Caenorhabditis elegans: one gene and its partners. The protein of the gene in region 3 interacts with the protein of the main gene of each other region in a pairwise test. Each region holds a gene or a part of one and is shown on either strand. Other genes may lie near its edges.

What was found.
Region 1: the proteins of pas-7 (region 3) and T07F8.4 interact in a two-hybrid assay, tested with the Caenorhabditis elegans proteins (2 studies listed by BioGRID).
Region 2: the proteins of pas-7 (region 3) and depd-5 interact in a two-hybrid assay, tested with the Caenorhabditis elegans proteins (2 studies listed by BioGRID).
Region 4: the proteins of pas-7 (region 3) and rpt-4 interact in a two-hybrid assay, tested with the Caenorhabditis elegans proteins (2 studies listed by BioGRID).

What each region holds. Positions count from the first base shown.
Region 1 is NC_003280.10:7,130,014-7,133,704, forward strand, and holds T07F8.4 (ELM2 domain-containing protein), read right to left. Parts: upstream 2,020-3,691; 5' UTR 2,004-2,019; coding exon 1,922-2,003; intron 1,871-1,921; coding exon 1,814-1,870; intron 1,772-1,813; coding exon 1,662-1,771; intron 1,613-1,661; coding exon 1,417-1,612; intron 1,370-1,416; coding exon 1,017-1,369; intron 965-1,016; coding exon 903-964; intron 862-902; coding exon 684-861; 3' UTR 516-683; downstream 1-515. Other genes in the region: gld-3 (Defective in germ line development protein 3), read left to right, coding at 2,630-2,754, 2,803-2,884, 2,926-3,036, 3,082-3,152, 3,195-3,360, 3,405-3,533, 3,578-3,691.
Region 2 is NC_003281.10:4,260,097-4,265,122, forward strand, and holds the start of depd-5 (DEP domain-containing protein), read right to left. Parts: upstream 3,049-5,026; 5' UTR 2,953-3,048; coding exon 2,779-2,952; intron 1,920-2,778; coding exon 1,584-1,919; intron 1,538-1,583; coding exon 1,430-1,537; intron 1,182-1,429; coding exon 786-1,181; intron 1-785. Other genes in the region: sftb-1 (Splicing factor 3B subunit 1 domain-containing protein), read right to left, coding at 3,986-4,099, 4,487-4,552, 4,602-5,026.
Region 3 is NC_003280.10:10,098,251-10,101,492, reverse strand, and holds pas-7 (Proteasome subunit alpha type-3), read left to right. Parts: upstream 1-1,638; 5' UTR 1,639-1,639; coding exon 1,640-1,709; intron 1,710-1,758; coding exon 1,759-1,871; intron 1,872-1,916; coding exon 1,917-2,486; 3' UTR 2,487-2,711; downstream 2,712-3,242. Other genes in the region: puf-12 (Pumilio domain-containing protein 12), read right to left, coding at 1-87, 140-644, 692-994, 1,045-1,164; lact-2 (Beta-lactamase domain-containing protein 2), read right to left, coding at 2,804-3,028, 3,077-3,242.
Region 4 is NC_003280.10:41,694-48,099, forward strand, and holds rpt-4 (putative 26S proteasome regulatory subunit 10B), read right to left. Parts: upstream 4,440-6,406; coding exon 4,419-4,439; intron 3,686-4,418; coding exon of another isoform or gene 3,536-3,685; intron 3,487-3,535; coding exon of another isoform or gene 3,352-3,486; exon of another isoform or gene 3,347-3,351; intron 3,225-3,346; exon of another isoform or gene 3,157-3,224; coding exon of another isoform or gene 3,086-3,156; intron 3,032-3,085; coding exon of another isoform or gene 2,788-3,031; intron 2,743-2,787; coding exon of another isoform or gene 2,482-2,742; intron 2,431-2,481; coding exon of another isoform or gene 2,341-2,430; intron 2,285-2,340; coding exon of another isoform or gene 2,252-2,284; exon of another isoform or gene 2,214-2,251; intron 1,970-2,213; coding exon 1,617-1,969; intron 1,568-1,616; coding exon 840-1,567; intron 789-839; coding exon 670-788; 3' UTR 514-669; downstream 1-513. Other genes in the region: F23F1.10 (Reverse transcriptase domain-containing protein), read right to left, coding at 151-285; Nuclear transcription factor Y subunit nfyc-1, read left to right, coding at 2,252-2,284, 2,341-2,430, 2,482-2,742, 2,788-3,031, 3,086-3,156; rpoa-49 (RNA polymerase I associated factor, A49-like protein), read left to right, coding at 3,352-3,486, 3,536-3,685, 4,421-5,296, 5,541-5,678; C23H3.5 (Nucleolus and neural progenitor protein-like N-terminal domain-containing protein), read left to right, coding at 5,891-5,948, 6,294-6,406. UniProt on the Caenorhabditis elegans protein: The 26S proteasome is involved in the ATP-dependent degradation of ubiquitinated proteins. The regulatory (or ATPase) complex confers ATP dependency and substrate specificity to the 26S complex.

The DNA of each region.
Region 1 (3,691 bases), 3.0 Mb from region 3:
GGATGTAGCCTAAGAATGATTGTGATGATGTCGAATGTACCCTAAGAACAAATGTACCCCCAATTCGGTGTACCCTTGGATCATGGGCCAACTGCGGTTGGTTGGAGCACGCGCATTGGATTTTATGCGGTAAGACAAAAGTGCGAACGTAGCTATAATTTACTCTCTCTCTCTCTCTCTGAAAACGGGGTCGATAAGTGCAAAATCTACGGGATTTAACACCAAAATTTCAGATGCAAATTTTCAGATACTGAGACCGAGATGGCAGAATTAAATGTTGGTTTTCAGTAGACAGTAACATTATCTTCCGATTGGTATGCTTTTTGCTCCATATTTCCACCATATTTTTACGGGGCTCCCAGTTTTTCACTTACATGTGGTGAAGGATCACAGACCAGAAGAAGACGTGTTGTACGTGCTAGAAATGATGACTGGGAGGAAATCGAGTGTGATGATACGGAGACCGAAGTCCGACAGTGTACGGGTCGTCATCAATGTTGATAAACTCTAATTTTAACAATGAAATTTTATGAAAGTGAATATTTGATTCAGATTAATTTGACAACGAAGGAATTTGATTGTTGTGATTACGTAAATGGGTATCAGGGGCGAGATTATTTGTTAAACAGAGATCGAAAATAATAAATGCTTAGGTGAAAAAGTAAAAAAATAGTTCCCTAGTTTTAGTTCGTAAGAGTTGATGGCTCCTCTGAAGTAGATGGCTCGGAGAAGGAGGCTTCAACAAATCCAGTTTGACCATTTTGATCTTCCAGTTGAGCTACTTGCTGATGCCATGCAGCAGATAAATGAGGCTGAACTACTGGCGCATGCTGTGGATGAGCGTCCCGCCAAACTCGATAGCTGAAATAAATTATTAAAATTTGAAATCGTCGTTCTCTCACCCAGGGGTTAATTTCCATTGATAGTAGTATTCGATAAGTTCTCCAACTTTCCGGTAGGGTAGCTAAAATAAAACATTATGAAAACTTTTTGAATTTGCAAAATATACAACTAACCCGTAGTCTCCTTATCAGCGAAAAATCTTTTCCATACAGCTCGAGTGACTCTTCAAATGCCTTTGCTTCACTCTCATCGAATCCCAATGCATCTGAGCGAACAGTGCGGAATGGGGCATTTATATGAGGAAAAGGGAATGATTCTTTCGCCTTTTCTGTGTCAAAGTTGCTTCTATACAAAGCACATAGAGCGTCCTCGTCGTCTCGTGATTCGGTGCCAGCTGGTGGACATGGTTGGTCGTGGGCTTTTCGTAAGCCTACTACATCTTTGAGATAGTTGTCAATAACTTCATCACTTGGCTGATTCGTCTGATCAATTGTCCATAAAATAGTGTCATCTTCTCGAGCAGATTCTGAAGAAATAAATCGATATAGAATCAAAAATCAGATCATTGCTTACCTTCAACCGTTGCTTCATTAAAAAGCGGGACGTCGGCTTGGAAAAGTACTGGATCCACACGAATACTTCTTTTCCATGGGTCTGGCGGTGGTGCATAGTCGTCATCATCGTCGTCGAAGCCACTCATTGAATTACCCATATCGAAAATTGTTGAGTCGTGCGGTTCTGCAGCAGCCGAACTTGATTCCCCTACATTCTGAAAAATATAAACATTTTATAATTTCACTTTATCATTTGTAAATTACTTCTTCGGCGATTTCCGTATCTTCATTGTTTGCAGATGAATTTTCCGCTGGACGATAGCCATACTTACGTTGAAGTTCTTCAATTGACATTTCTCCCTCATCTTCCAAGTCTGAAAAGAAAAATGAGTCAGAAGCAAATTAAAGAAATTCACCTTTCAATTCATCTTCGTAGTCCCCTTCATCTAGAAGCTCCTCCTCTTCAATTGTCGCTGGAAAACCATACGTTGAAGAAATTTGAAAAAATATATATATAAGCATACCTTCATAGTCTTCGCCATTATCATTATCGTCTACATAATCTTCTTCATCAGTGATAGACGAACGAGAACCCTCTTCATCCATATTCAAAGCCTGGAAACTAACAAAAGTTGTATTAAAAACGGAAAAAGCGAAAATAAGTTAAAGCGGTTTGCGCGTCGACTAAGACGTAATTCTCTGTGTGCGGTGTTTGCGGACTTGTTTACAGTAGCTCGCAAAATAAAAAATGATGCAAAGCCAATGGGTGTTTCTAAAAAAGGGGAAGTTAATTTTGAAAAAGTAGAAAGCAACACAGATATAACAAAATAGTATAACAATTTATTAAAATGTAATTCAAATGTTCAGTCTGTTAAATGAAGCCGCCCCTAATATTAGGCAGCTAATCAAATTTAAAAAGTACAGTAACCAAGAAAGTTTTCAGAAAGGCGCATTACCGAAATCGAGCAGGTCTTACAACGTTCTTCAAGGAGATTGTTTGGCGCCCAATTCCTCGAACACACGTTCAGCGTGATTTTCAGTGTGTTTTCTCATTTGTTTTCGTGCAATTTCATCCTTATAATGCTAATATTATCTGTAATTAATCGTTCCACGATGATACTAATACCAGTAACATCGACGGAGGCACTGACGATCATTTATAAAATATTTGAAACTCAAAAAATTTACTGAGCAAACGCTTTAGTGTTAGAAACAAGATTTCAATTTTGCAGATGGGGGAGCAAAGCCATGAAAAAGATCATGATGAAGCGCACTCCTACAATCCATTCGTTCGCTCTGCCGTTGAATACGATGCTGACACACGCCTCCAAATGGCAGAAAATGCGGCATCTGCAAGGTATTAAATATGGTTTACGCTTACAACATTCTAATACTCCGATTTTAGAAAACTATTTGTATCGTCTGCCCTCAAAGATATTATCGTGAATCCTGAAAACTTCTATCATGATTTCCAGCAATCTGCACAGGTAAAGGCAACAACTTGTTATGTTACAGTCAAACAATTCAGATGGCGGAGGATGCTAATCAGAGACGACAGGTGTCATACAACACGAAACGAGAGGCTCATATTCATCAGCTAAAAGCGCAAGGATTGCCTCTGCCGTCAAATATACCAATGGTTTGACTGCTTCACATTCCACTGATTAACTGATTCAACATTTAGATCGAGATTAACCCAACTAGAGTAACCCTCAATATGGAGTTTGAATCCCAATACTATTCACTAATGACCAGGTTAGTTCACCAGTTAAGCGAAAGAAATTGTATTCATTTCAGTGACAACGGGGATCACGAGAATGTCGCGTCAATCATGGCAGAAACTAACACCCTCATTCAACTTCCCGATCGTTCTGTCGGAGGAACTACACCTGATCCATTTGCACAGCAAGTAACCATCACTGGATACTTTGGTGACGTGGATAGAGCACGAATGTTGATGAGAGTACGTTCAACTCTGATTATATGAATAATGTTCGTATTTTACAGAGAAACTGTCATTTTACAGTTTTTATGGCACTGTCAAAAATGAAGATGCCACTTCACGAACTTCAGGCACATGTCAGACAGAACCCCATTCAAAATGTGGAAATGTCTTTCGTCGATGCTCCAGAAAAGGCAAGCCGATTTAGCTAGTAACCAACAGTATTAATTTTCTTCAGAATGGAATCGTCACAACCTATCTTCGTATCACCGCCCGCGAAAAGAATCAGCATGAACTGATCGAAGCTGCAAAACGACTGAATGAAATACTTTTCCGCGAGTCTCCGGCACCG
Region 2 (5,026 bases), on a different chromosome or scaffold from region 3:
AAGAGCACATTCCAACTATGGAGTCCGATTGATGATCTTCCCCATATATAAAACCCGATCTTCTATAGCTGAAGGATCAGAAATGATCTATGGAAGAATAGGTTCCACCTATGGAGTCTATTTTTGATCTCAGATTCTTCAGACTTTATTTTATTGATTTTTAAACAACTGAAAATCTTGCAAAATCAATATTTGGCTTCTGATCTTATAGTTAAGGAAGATAGGAAGATCCCTAGCTGGAAGATCAGATTCTTCAGACTCCATAAGTGGAATCTGATCTTCCAGCTAATGCCGAAGAATTGGTAGATCACATTCAACCTATGGAGTCCGATTTTTGATCATCCGCATGTTAAATCTGATCTTCTATAGCTGAAGGATCCGAAAATACACCTTTGGAGCTCGATACATTTCAAACTCCATGATCTTCGAATTTTTCCGATTTTTGAAAAATATCTAAACATTTTGGCCATTTTCTTTTTTTTTAGAAAAAAATCATCAACAAGTACACAATTTTATTTAAAAGCGTTTTATTTCCCAGTTTTAAAATGGAAAAATCGATTTTTGGTAGTTTATGTTGCATTTTTCCTTTGATTTTCAGGAAATTAAAGTCGAAAAATGCAAAAACTTGTATTAAATTTTGAGCAATGTTGCGTGAAAATTTTGAAAAGGTGCGAAAAAAACCGTAATATGCAACAAAACTGATAAAAATAATTTCCAGCCAAAAATTCTAATTTTCAGACTTTTTGAGCAGTTTTTGAAGAAAAAACTTATATTTTAATACTCACCGCATACCACCGTGAGCACAGAATAATTGATACATAATGTGTACATGATTGTTCTTTCCATTTCAAGAATAATTCCGTTAAAAATCCTTTAATACATTTTTCCAAATACAAATCTCCTTGCGGATCGAGTTGATTCATTTCAGAGCACATTTGAATAAATATGAGTACTGTACTTGAACTTGAACGGAATACAACACGTGTCTTATCTGTAACATATCCACTTCTGACTAATGATCCTTTTCTCCACATATCCGAAATACGAGTATTTATATTCATATATCGTTTCGGTTCTTCTACATATGTCATTCGTCCGATCAGGCAACTACGGTAACGATACATATCGGCTCGGCTCATATATTGCTCTCGGAATGTTAATTGCACATTGTCAAGGGATACCTGAAACATTAATTTTTGTTGCGAAATTTTGCTCCAAAAATGCGGTACCCGGTCTCGACGCGATTTTTTTCTTAAATAAAAAAGTGTGTGCCTTTAAAGAGTACTGTAGTTTCAAACTATCGTTGATGTAGAATTTTCATTGATTTTTTAGTTTTAAAAAAAATCTATTCATTTTTCAAAAAAAAAATTGAAATTTATCAGGAAAAAACTATAAAATCGCAAAAATTAATTTTTCAAAAAACTCATACCGTATCAACTGTCTCCAAAGTGCACTTCACAATATCATTTTGTTTCAGAAAATCTATCCGATTCGTGATAAGCCCTGGGGCTCCTTTTGCTAGGGACAATGTACAGGTCTGAAAAAATGAAATTATTTTCAAACTATATTCATAACATTATTACCACATCTTCAGGTTTTCCAATCATAACCGACGATTTCTTCTTCTCAACAACATCTTCATCTTTATCCAACTCGGCGAGCACTGCCTGACGGGCGGCCTCATCATAAACTCTCGAATTTCGATTACTCGACGGTCCGCTCCGATGAATACTTGCAGCACTATTCGTCTTTTTTGCTTCGGAGAGAATTGTTGTTTCAATTCGAAATGATAATTCATGATCACCAGTTTCATCTGTTTTTGATACTGTAATATAGCATGGTTTCATAAATGCAAGTGTTTTATCATGAACGAGTACTGCCATATGTTCATCTTCCTTCAGGCATGATGGTTTTTTGCTCTGAAAAATATGAATTATTTTTGGAAAATCAAAAGAATTCGATTTTTTTGAATAATAGATTAAAACTGGCCATATTTTCGATAAAATTTCTACAATTTTATTTTCGATTATCTCCGGTTTTTTTGCTCTGAAAAATACTTTATTATTGTCAATAACCAGAAAACCAATTTTGCGACAACTAACAGCCGGCAACTGATCAAAATTATTGGAAAAACTAAAATAAAATAAATCAAAATTACAAAAAGACTGAATTTCAAAATGAAGCATCATAAAAATGCCTAAAAATGAAAAAAGAATGCTAAAGGGAGGAGTAGAGATTTTTCCGAAACAATTTTTTAAAAAACCGGCTGAATTAAACTTGATTTCCCAAGCAAATGAATTGCCTAATTTCGAAATTTCTGCATTTTCTGGACATACAATTGTGCGGAAATTCAAATATAATTTCAGCTGTTTTTTTTTTGGAAAATTCATGAAAATCATCTAAAAATTGGACATTGCTTAAAATCTTCGAATTTTACCAACATTTCCATGTCGCAAATTAATTTTTATTTAATAACTTTTTTATTTTGCGTATTTTCAGTGAAAATTGTCCAGATTATCGTTCCAATCATCAGAAAATGCAAAAGAGAGAAAAAAACGTGCAAAAGTAAATAATTAAATAAAAATTAATTCATCAACACGGAAGTTGAGAAATTACACGGAAGTTGAGAAATTGGAGAATTTAGTTCATCGAAGTTTATTTTCGAATTTTTAATCCATCAAAACCGGTCTATTGAGGTAATTTGAGTATTTTAACTTTACTTTAATTTTAATTTTTCAGTATTTTAATGAATAATTCTGTGCCCTATCCATTACGAACCGGATCACAATGCGGACATTTGTCGATCGTGTGATACACGACTTTAGCATTCCATGTCATCTTCTGTGCCTCGTGAAGTCCAAGTTGTAGCTCATTTTCAGGCGGTGGTTCAGTGGTTGCTCTCCGTTGACTTGAGTTATTGCTGCTGCTGGGTCCAGCTATTTCGAACGCCATCCCCGTGGATCCACACCGCCTTCACGGACCAAAGCAGCACCTGCGCTTTTGAACGAAGATTTTCGAAATTCTTTTGCTCACTTGGAAGGGATGACTGAAAAAAATCGATTTTTTGAGAAAAACTAATTTTCAGAGAATTTAATTATTACAAAGACGCGAACATTTGTACAAAAAATACGGTAACCGGTCTCGACGCGACAATTTTAGTTCAATGCAAAAATGTGTTTAACAAAAATATCGTAGCTGCATAATTTTCATAGATTTTGTTCAAATTTTAAGTATTTTAATATTTGTATGAGTAAATATATTTTTGAGATAAAATCGATGAAAATTCTGTGCAAACAAAAGTTTTTCGATTAGAAAAATAAAAATTGAAAGAAGATTATGAAAAATCGATGAAAATTCCGTAACAAAGAGATTCTTAAACTACAGTAATCCTTAAAGGCGCACACCATTTTTGCATTTAATACACATTTGTCGTTTCGAGACCAGCCACTGTACTGTTGCTGCAAAAAGCGCAAAATTTTCGTTTTTAAGGAACTAATATTGAAAGAATTTGTAAAATTTCTTTTTTAAAGATAATTTTGCCAAAAATAAAATTAGAAAATTATTTTTATATTTGGAGAGTATTAGGAAACTCTGATATTTTTTAAGGTATTTAAAAAATTTTTAAACGAGAAAAAATAAGCGAAATTTGACTTCAACAAAAAAAAAGGGATTTCTTTAAAACATTAAAATAATTTGACAAGTCTTCATTTTAAATATCTATCGCAAGAGTTGTTGTTGTTTTTTTTTTTGGGAATAAATTGATTGATATTGGAGAAAAGTAATAGAAAAACAAAAAAAAACCACTGACAACCAAAACAATTTTGTTAGATTAATCTAGATTCAAGAGAATATTTGGAGGGAAATGGGATTAAAATATAAAAGGTTTCGTTTTCTATGAAAATGTGATGAAAGGAGGGAGGGAACACGGAGATAGAAAAATAAGTTATCGAGATCCAAATAAAAAAAACAAAAATTAGAAAATTATTTAAAGATTATAATCAAGTTCGTAGCGGACATATTGATTTGTTGGGGTGTTCTCGATACGTGGATAGGCGGCAATAAGAGCATCTGCGGAGCCAAGAATTAGGTTGTTGAAGACCTGGAAATATTAATATGAAATTACATAAAAATTTAGCGCTTGTGGAAAAAACGTCTCAATATTCCGAATACAAATTTTAAAAAATTTATAGAAATTTTCTAATCTTTTTTTAAATTTTGCGGAAAATTTGAGAAGTACCAAAACATTTTTGAATTCCCGCGCAACCTGTATTTAATTTTTTCCTTTTTCAATTTTTCCGGTCGCTCACTTTTGGTCGAAAAAAAAGAAGATATTTCACAATAAAAATAAATTTTCTCTGAAAAATAAAAATTCAATTGAAAAAAATCATTAAAAAATTAGAAACATTCTATAAATATTTTAAAAGCTATATTCCGAATATTTCCACTATTTCTGTAATTGAAAATTCAAGGAAACTAAAATAATTACCTTCCACACTGGTTCTCGAACTTTTCTCGCTGGATGCCAAAGAGCTTGCAGGCAATATTGAAGAACCTGAAATGAATTTTAATTTTTGAAATTATTAAGAATTTAAAATAAAAACCTTAATAGGTCCCAACGAAACTCGCATTCCTTCACATGCAAACACCCATCGTTGAATAAGATGCGGTGAGTTTTCCAACATATTGGGCCACACATAATTCAATAAATGAATAAGTGCATCTTCACAACCAAATCCATAAACTCCAATAGCAAGATGAGCAACTGCGTCGACTGCAATCTGACGATGAACTTGATCTCTTTCCATTAATGCATCAATGAGCAGCGGAACAACTGCATAAATGTAGTCTTTTGCCATTTCTCCAATGTATTCGAACATGAATGAAAGAGCTTTTAAAACTCCGTTTTGTACATTAATTTCAGGTACACGATACTCGTTCATAATTGCTGGAAGTACTGTAAATGGGGCACAAGTTTCCGAAACAATGGCAATGGCGACTGTTGTACACACACGGAGCTGGCGTTCTT
Region 3 (3,242 bases):
TTCCATTCTTCAACATTTTCTTGACGAAAAATTTGGAATAGACGTTCTTTGACATCCTCACTATTTCTGGGGTTAATTCGTTGAACACTGCAATAATTATGTTCTCGTAATTATTCATGGGAACCTTCAAAAAACTTACAGTTGTTAATGATTCCTTCTCTTTCAGTGGCAACAAGACATTCGATAACTCTGCTGGTGTCGTGAGCATAGATCAGCTTGGCAGCGTGTCCTTTTACAAGACCATACAACTCGTGAACCGCAGTATCCTTTTCAGCTTTTGGCGTCTTTCCCATTCTGATCTTTTCCCAAAGTTCCTTGCATTTTTGAGCACGAGCTCCTTCAGGTTTTCTCTTCAATTTCAACTCCTTCAAAAATGCTTTTCTTTCTTTTCTCGGCATATTCAGCAATTGTTCTTTAACAGACTTTGTGACTTGAATAGCTACTCTCTTTCTCTTTAGAGTTGGAATGTCAATATGAGATTCATCTCCACCTGCTTGTTCGTCGACAGATTCCAAATTTTCATCGTCTGCTGGCTCAGAAGCAACGGCTTTCTCTGCATTAACCTTCACTTTTTTCTTTGGGGGAGCGGAATGCTCTTCTTCTTCTTCCTGAGCAACTTTGACAGTCTTCACTTTGGCAAGTTTCTGAAAAAAAACAATTGTGTAAAAGACGATATATTGAATTAACAAACCTTAACCTTCTTATCAAGAGGGGATCTGAGAATTCCTCTTCCTGGAGATGCCTCTGATGGTTTGATTTGAAGATCCTGAACTCGCTTATCGAAAACCTTAACATGTTCAAGTTCTCCTGAGAAAAGCACTTTTTTCGATTTCTTTTTCGGTGCTGGCTGGCTTCCGAACGAAGACTCCGAGCACAAAGAGTCACGAGTCCCATCATTATCAAAAACTGATGTTGAAGATGACTTTTTCAACCTTTCCAACTCGTCCTTCACAGCTTTGTCTACTTTGCTTTTTAACGCTGCTTTTTCTTCAATCTGAAATATTTCACAAAAAATTATTTACAAAATGAAGTAATTTAACAAACCTTAACAATTCGCTTTCTGTCTACTTTGTTGAGTTTTAATCCTTTTGCCTTTTTCTCCAACACATTTTTAACCTTCTTCTTCCCTTTGAATTTTTTATTTTTGTCGTCGAGTTTCACCATTTTTACCCGCGAGATTTCTCTGAAAGACACGCATATTAAAAGGAGTAATAAACACAAGACAATTTTATGTGAGGTTTAAGCGATTTTTACTTTGGAAACAAATTGCACAGCTTCAAAATAGTAACAAAAAGTTACGAAAAAGTAAAGAAAAATGAAAAGAAAATGTTAAAGGCGCATGTTGTCTTCTGACGTCTCTCAATTTACACACTCTCTTCTTCGTCGTTGCGAGACCTGCCGCAATGTTCGTCTCTCCCGTAAATCGACATTGGAAAATCATCATTTGAAATTTTATTTCCATTTAGCTGCCATTTTCAGATTATCAGCTTTTATTTTCGCAATAATTCTACTATTTTTAACGCATTCAAATAAACGAATTATTAAATATTAAATTTTAACGGTTCTTCTGATTTCCGCAGAAATAAAACACGTACCAGTTGCAATCATATATGTGTTAACATAGTTTTTATTTTGCAGAATGAGTTCAATCGGTACCGGCTACGATCTCGCCGCCTCTACTTTTTCTCCTGATGGCAGAATTTTCCAAGGTTTGTTTCGATTTTGCTTTGTTCAAAATACTCATAATCTCGTTTTCAGTCGAGTACGCTCAAAAGGCTGTCGACAATGCAGGAACAATGATTGCAATTCGTGGCAAGAACGGAGTTGTGGTCGTTGCTGACAAGCTGATCTCTTCCAAACTTTACACTGATGTGAGTAATTTAAGAGATTTTCAAGATTTTATCTATAATTTTCAGAACGCTAATCCAAGAATGTTTAACGTGAACGACAATGTTGGTGTCGCAGTTGCTGGAAACTATCCAGATGGTTTCGCTCTGAAGAACTATGCTTACGGAGAAGCAATGAAGTGGCTCAAAGACTACCGTGAGCCAATGCCGATTCAGAATATTGCTAACTCAGTTGCTGAGTACATTCACATTCACACTCTCGGCATTAGTCGTCCGTTTGGAGCAGGAGCCTTCTTCATGTCATGGAACAAACAAACTGGAGGACGTCTTTTCCTTGTGGAGCCATCAGGTCTAAACTATGAATACAAGGCATGGGCTGTCGGAAAACATCGCCAAGCCGCAAAAGCTGAGATTGAGAAGCTGAAGATCGAGGAGCTGGATGTGAATCAACTCGTGAAGGAAGCTGCTCGAATCATTATGGTGGTGCGTGACGAGAACAAGGATAAAAACGTTCAAATCGAAATGGGATGGGTCGGTGAGCAGACGAACGGAAAGTACGAAGAAGTTCCAAGCGAGGTTGTCACTGCTGCCGAGGAATGGGCTATTGCCAAGCTTGACGAGGACGACATGGACGATTGAATCATTCTCGTGTATTTATTCACATTTTTAATTTATTATCAGCTCTCTTCTTTCTGCCCTGGTAAACTTCTTGCGCTCGGCGAGTCATTTTATTGTACTTCAAACCGACTCACCGACTTCAAGAAGAACTTTTTGCACCCGGATGTTTTTTTTTAACTTTTTCTGTTCATTATTTTTCGGTTTCCCGGTATTACCCATTTTTCTCAATACAAATTCAGACAAACCAGAAACATGTTTATGCACAATTCGCTGGGGGCAGTAGACCCGTCCCAAATTATGGCGCTATGTACAAACAAGGATAACAACAATTTTTTAAGTTATGCGGCAACTGCTTGAACTGCTTCCTCGATCATCACACTTTGACCAGTCTTCTGTTTCTCCAAGCACTCAAATACAGAATCTCGAAGATGTCTGTATGTTCTCGTAAGCTCTCCCATTCCAGTTTTCAATCCATTCGAGACGTAGGCAATCGTGATCCCATCTTCCAAATCCATCATTACTGTGCTGCCACCGTAACCAGGATGTCCAACAAGCCACTTTTTCTGAAAAAATAATTGATTTATTATTATATTTATTAAAACGATGCTCACCCCTCCCATTGGATGTCTCTCGTATAGGAAACCATGTCCTTTTGGTAGAGGAGTCATGACAACTTCATCAATCCCCTGAACTTGGGGGGCACGGAACTTTTCTAGAAGTTCAGTAGAGAACAGTTTTCCTTGTTGTACGAGTGAGAAAAGTCTAGCTAAATCTCTT
Region 4 (6,406 bases), about 10 Mb from region 3:
TTTTCTGGAATGTTTTTGTGTGAATTGAAACTCTCGAATGACGCAAATAGCCGATCTAATTATATTATTAACGAGCCAGACATTTTGTGTTTGAATGGGGTAGTGGCATTTCCGAGTATAAATCTCATTCCAGAATATATCAGCTCAAACCTTTTCTTTTTCCAGCTCAACTCTAACTGCTTCTTGTTCCTCCTGGGATATGCTCACTGATTTCAGGTCCTCCAGTTCTGTATACTTGATGGATCCGATACGAGCGATTGCAGATTTTATACTGGTGCTCGCCATTGCTCTGAAACGAAAATTTAATTGAAAAGCTTCATTTTCTATTTTCTTTGAAAAAAATCGAACAATTTTCGACCTTTTGTGGGTTTTATTCAGGATAAATTGAGAATCTTTACACGAAAAGTGCCTTTGTGCCAAATAAAATTGAATTTTTTTTTTGAAAGTCTGGAGAATCGAAAAATTACTATAATATTTCGCGATTTTTTTTACGAGGCTCGTCATTATTTGGGTCTACAAATATTATTTATCGAGAAATCTACTCCATGTCAAGAACCAGCCAAAAATAATTTATGATTCGGATCTTCTTTTTTTACACGGAAACATTGAAAACGGGATAATGGTTAAAAGATGCAAACGGGAAAGGTCCAATAAATACGAAAAAATCAATTAGACAGGTTTATAGTCGAGCTTCGTCTCAAGTCTCTTCGCGTCTCCAACCTTGCGAACAGCTTTCATAAAGTCCTCGTCGATAACGAATTCACGCTCAGCACGGATGGCAAACATTCCTGAAACAAAAATGATAATTTGAATGCAATTTTTATGATTCAACTCCTCACCAGCTTCTGTGCACACATTTCTTAAATCAGCAGCCGAGAATCCGTCGGACAACTTGACAACAGCTTCAAAATCTATTTCGCCGTGTTTGGTGATCTTGTTCGAGTGAATCTTGAGAATTTCCAAGCGAGATTGTTCGTTTGGCAGTCCGATTTCAATCTTTCTATCAAGTCTTCCAGGACGAAGAAGAGCAGGATCCAATGTATCAGGACGATTCGTGGCCATAATAACCTTGACTTTTCCAAGCGAATCGAATCCATCGAGCTGATTGAGAAGTTCCATAAGAGTTCTCTGAATTTCACGATCTGCTGATGTTCCTTCTGAGAAACGTCTTCCACCGATCGCATCAATTTCATCCATGAAGACAATGCATGGCTGATGGTCACGAGCATAATTGAACATTTCTCGAATCATTCTTGCAGACTCTCCGATATATTTATCAACAATAGCAGACGAGACAACTTTCAGGAAATTGCAATCCAGTTGCGATGCTACAGCACGAGCAAGGAGAGTTTTTCCTGTTCCCGGTGGACCAAAAAGCAGACATCCTTTCGGGGGAGTGATACCAACACGTTTAAAGAGTTCGGGATTGATGAGTGGGAGCTCCACAACTTCACGAAGCTCGCGAATCTGCTCAGCGAGTCCTCCGACATCTGAATAGCTAATGTTACCAGGATCTTCGTGAGACATTTTGTAGACTAGCGGATCAACTTCACGTGGCAGCTGACGCCTGAAACATTTCGGTTTAAGACTTTTTGTTTAAAAAACTAAAAGCTTACATGATAGTAAGAGTTGTCATATCCAACGAAACTCTTGTCCCTTGCTTCAACTCTTCCTTGTTAATACTGCGACGGCATCCGACAACATAACGAGGACCATTGGTTGCCTTGACGATGAATTTCTCTTCACTGAGCTGCTTGAGCACTTCTCCTACAATTTGTCCAACAGATTGCAACGACTTGATATCGTTCTCGGATTTGTCAAATTGTTTGGTCATCTCGCTTTCTTTTTTTCGCAAGTCCTTCAACTTCTGTTCAATGTCACGGCACTCTGCCAATTTTCTTCTATAGCTGTTGAGCGCCTTAGTGCGTTCATCCTCTACGATGGCGGGACCAGTTGGTTCAACCATGTTCTGGAATTCAGAAAATATCTAGTTTTGAATGAAAACATTTTTTAATCTGTATAAGATGTAAAAATCTGAAAAAACGAGGTTCTCATGAGGAAAGAACGTCAGAAATGAAAATCAGAATTGAAATTGTCATCGTGTCCAACAGAGCGCAGTTGATCGAGTCCGCAATCTTCCGCCTCGGTGTACGTGCACACAATGCACAATATTTCACGACAGAAGAATAGTGTTGTTTTAATTTATTTTTTTCTAATTAGTTTAAAGTTAATTTTTCTTGCATCTGCCGTGATGTCGCAATTCCCAGAAGTTTTAGACAATAATGTAAGTAATACAATTTAAAATTTTCGACTTCCCAGCAAATGTTTCATTTATTTCAGCTTTTACACGCCGAAAACAACGAAACTGCCGAATACATACAAAATGATGGGACAAATCAATCAGAAGTGTTCATGGAACATCCCTACACGGTGAATAAAATCAACTCGTTTTAAAAACTTATTTATTTTATTTCATTTTAGCCGAACATGCATCCAATAAATATGCCTTCTATTGTAGAAGGTGCGGTTCATCCTTATAATAATTTAATCCATCACAATGATGCGATACCACCGGCAAAGTACGCCTCGATGAGACAAATGACAGAAGATTTCTGGCGTGAAAAAAAACAGAAAATGACTGAGATTTCTGAAGAGGATATGCTGAACAAGTCGAAAAACATGAGCGTTCCCATGGCTAGAGTGAAAAAGATTATGCGAATAGACGACGATGTTCGCAACTTTGTGAGTAGTGTCATTTTCCAGCCGATCTTCATACACTTTTTACAGATGATCGCGTCTGATGCTCCGATATTTATGGCTCAAGCAGCCGAGTTTTTCATTGAAGAAATGACCGCAATGGGCTGGCAATACGTGTCAGAAGCAAGGCGACGAATTCTTCAAAAAGCCGACATAGCAAGCGCAGTGCAAAAAAGTGATCAGTTCGATTTTCTCATCGACTTTCTACCTCCGAAAACGGTGCCAACAACTTCCACAAACGGCCCAGGCCATATGAGTGAAGACAGTTTCCAAGGTTTTCGGTTTTTTTCCTAAATATGATTTTTGTGCAATTTTTAACCTTTTATAGATCCCAACATGCATTCCGACTTTCACCAGAGAACTTCAAATTCTTCAGTCAACCGATCTCACCACAATTGATCTTTATAATAATATTTTCTTGCTTATATTATGTATTAAAATTAAGTTCGTGGCGCCTGGCGCCCTTTAAAAGCTTGAATTTATACCTTTTTTGTCTAAAAATACTGTGTTTCATATGCACATTCATATATTTTCTTATTTCTTTGTTTTTCATTTTACAGGCTTTTACTTTGAAATCTTTAAATTTGAGGCGAAATGTGGTTGTCAAGTGAGGAGCTGAGTGCGAAGAAGACGGCTTGCCACGTGAGAAATGTGGAATCCAACAAAGAATTTGCAGATTCTGATATCGTTGCCTCATTCGTGCACAATCGGCCAAAAGATTTGAAAAACGTTTGTTCTAAAGCACCTTCTTTCAAATGAAAATAAAAATCCATTTTAGCTGACATTCGAAAGACACGGAAAAGGAGGACGTAAAAAAGCGCCAATATTCAGCGTAAAAGGAGATATTAGCGAGCATGTTGTAGAAGTTGGGGCAGATGTTAATTGTCTTGATGAGGGATTCGATTTTGCTGTTGCTTTGGTTGATAAGGTAATTTTGAGTGTATTTTAGCTAACAAATTCACTCTTTCAAAGGCTGAGTACCGAAACCTGAAAAATATTTTGGTACTAGTTCTAAATCACCCCGCCACTTTTTTTCTTTTTTTTCAAATAAAAACGTGTGGAGTTTTTGTATTTTTAGGCTTAGGAAATAGCCATTTCTAAGCCTAAAGATGGAAAATGGACATCACGTTTTATTAAAATGAATAATATTAAAATGAGGGGAAATAATACACAAATAAAAAAAGTGGCGGGGTGATTTAGGACTAGTACCAATATTTTTTAATGACTCCAAATTTTCCCCTGATTCCGAAAATCTATCAAAAAAAAATTTCACTGACTTTGGATTTCAGCTTGAAATCCCCGAATTTCATTTGTGAACCCTTGAGATTTTTCAAACGCTCCAAAAATTTTTTTTTAATCAATGAAAAACGGAAATCAGCATCCGATATAGATTAAAAATTTCGTAAATCGACACATGGCGTCTCTGAGGCGAAAAAAGTTATTCATGGGTGGTGCACAAATGAAATTCGCCATTTCAAGCTTATATAAAAAATATAGAATATAGAAAATCTTTGAATTTTTTTCACACAGATTTTCGGGTTCAAGGTAAAATTTGGAGTCATTTAATAATATTTCTCAGATTTCTGTACTCCACCTTTGTGTACTCTTGAAGGAATATCGAATTATGTATTTGAATAAGAATATTTTTTAAAAAAACTTACAGAGAACTGGAGAAGCAACATATCGTCCTGCACGATTCTATTCATTCGAAAGCAAGTTCTCAGAAGACATTGAGAAGATTTTCAGTGACAAGAAGGAATCGTCGTCTGAAGAATACAAAAACGATTTTTCAATTGGAGCAGAGAAATGGGCTGAGAAACGTCGTCAATTGACATCGAATTTTGGTTCTTCGAAGAAAATTAAAATGGATGAAGCAGCTCAACGAAGAACTATTAATCAAGAAACATTGGACGAAATGAGAAAGACCGCGTTCGCTTCGAATTCGAACGTTAAAACTGAGGATGGTGCTGCTGACGTGAAGTTGGAGAATATCACAATGATGAATAAAGCCGAATCATCAATTCTTCCACCTGCTGTTCAAACGGAACTTTCACGAGATATCTATCCAATTTCCTTGTTCCTTGAAGACATTGAGATTGACGCAATTGAATCGATCGCCACTGAACTGATGGAAAAGAAGAAAAAAGAGAAACTTGAAGCTGGAATTCCAGAGTGTGTTACTCTTATTATGTACAATGAAAAGACCAAACAACGTGCAGCCGCCTATCTTTTACTCTCCACCATGATCGAGATCCTCACAAAAATGGGAAAGCAAAGACAGTTGCTGAGAAAAGATTTGAGTGAGCTAAAGATGCCCGATATTCTCCGACAGAAAGTTCAGGCCCAGTTTTTCAATGATAGTACTAATGAGAAGGGGTACACTGGACGTGGAGCCGAACGAATCCGTCTCAATGTTACCGACTATGATCGTTTTATCGCGCACACACTTGCATTGGCATTGACATTGGCACCCGAGCACAAAGTACCGATTACTCCATTTCAACAAGCTCTTAGTTATCAGCCTAGTAAACTTGAGAAGGTAAATCCCACTTGAAAATTTTGCTTTGAATTGTTTAAAATAGTCTAAAATCCAGAAAAAATGAACCCAATTTTGTGCATGAAACGTGATAGAAAGATTCGCGTACTTTTACTTTTACAAGATTCGCGTACGCATAATTTTGAAATTATTTATTTTATTTTTTTCTCTAAACATTCTCTAAAATTAAGCACATTTTCAAAGAACTCCAACAAGAGTTTTATTCACCAAAATGCCCCATTTTCAGATGTTCCAAGCACTAGGTGCAGACCTGATTCGTCTCGATGTGGCGTCTGCTCAAACTCTTCGTTCCCTCCGTGCCGCGATTCTCTTGAAACCTCCGAGTCTGGAACAGAAAGGGCCCAGAAAGATCATTCGGCGATAAATATTTTACTTATTTTTTCTTAAATCTTTTCGTTTTCCTCAAATTTGTTTTGTTTTGTTTTCTAAAATCGTTAAACTTGTTTTGTTATGAATTTCCGTTATAATCTTTATTTTTTTCTATCTTGATTTTTGGAGGGATTCGGATTCAAACACCAATCAGATTTCTAATAATTTGTATTTCAAATTTAATTTGATTACCTTTGTTACAGGCATATGTTTTCTAACGAAGACCCAGGACAGGAAGGAGCAGAAAATGATGATGTATTCATTGGTATGCATAGTTTAATAAAAATAATTGAAATTTCTAAATGTAGATCTAAAATATAATTTCTAGAATCAAGATTTTTACTTTTTTGAGAAAAATATTGAATTAAACAAATAAAAATCGAATTTCGAAATTTTAAAAAATCACAAGAAAGTCTTATTGTTTGGCACGGGTTCCGAAGAAAAATTAAAAATTATTTGATTTTGCCTATTTTTTCGTTTTTTCTCGGTGTTTTTCAAGAGAGAATATCAAATTTAAAAAAAAACTATATTTTCAATTAGGTATTTAATTTTCGACCTTTAACCGTAATTTCCTCTAATTACCAGGATATTTCAAACATCTTGATTTCAGAAATGCTGGATGAATTTTCAAATGATGTACCTGGTAGTTTTTTTGAACGTGAGCCCACAAAGGATACAACGACCGCTCGAACAATGCACTTTTTGTTGAAAAGCATTGTTGGC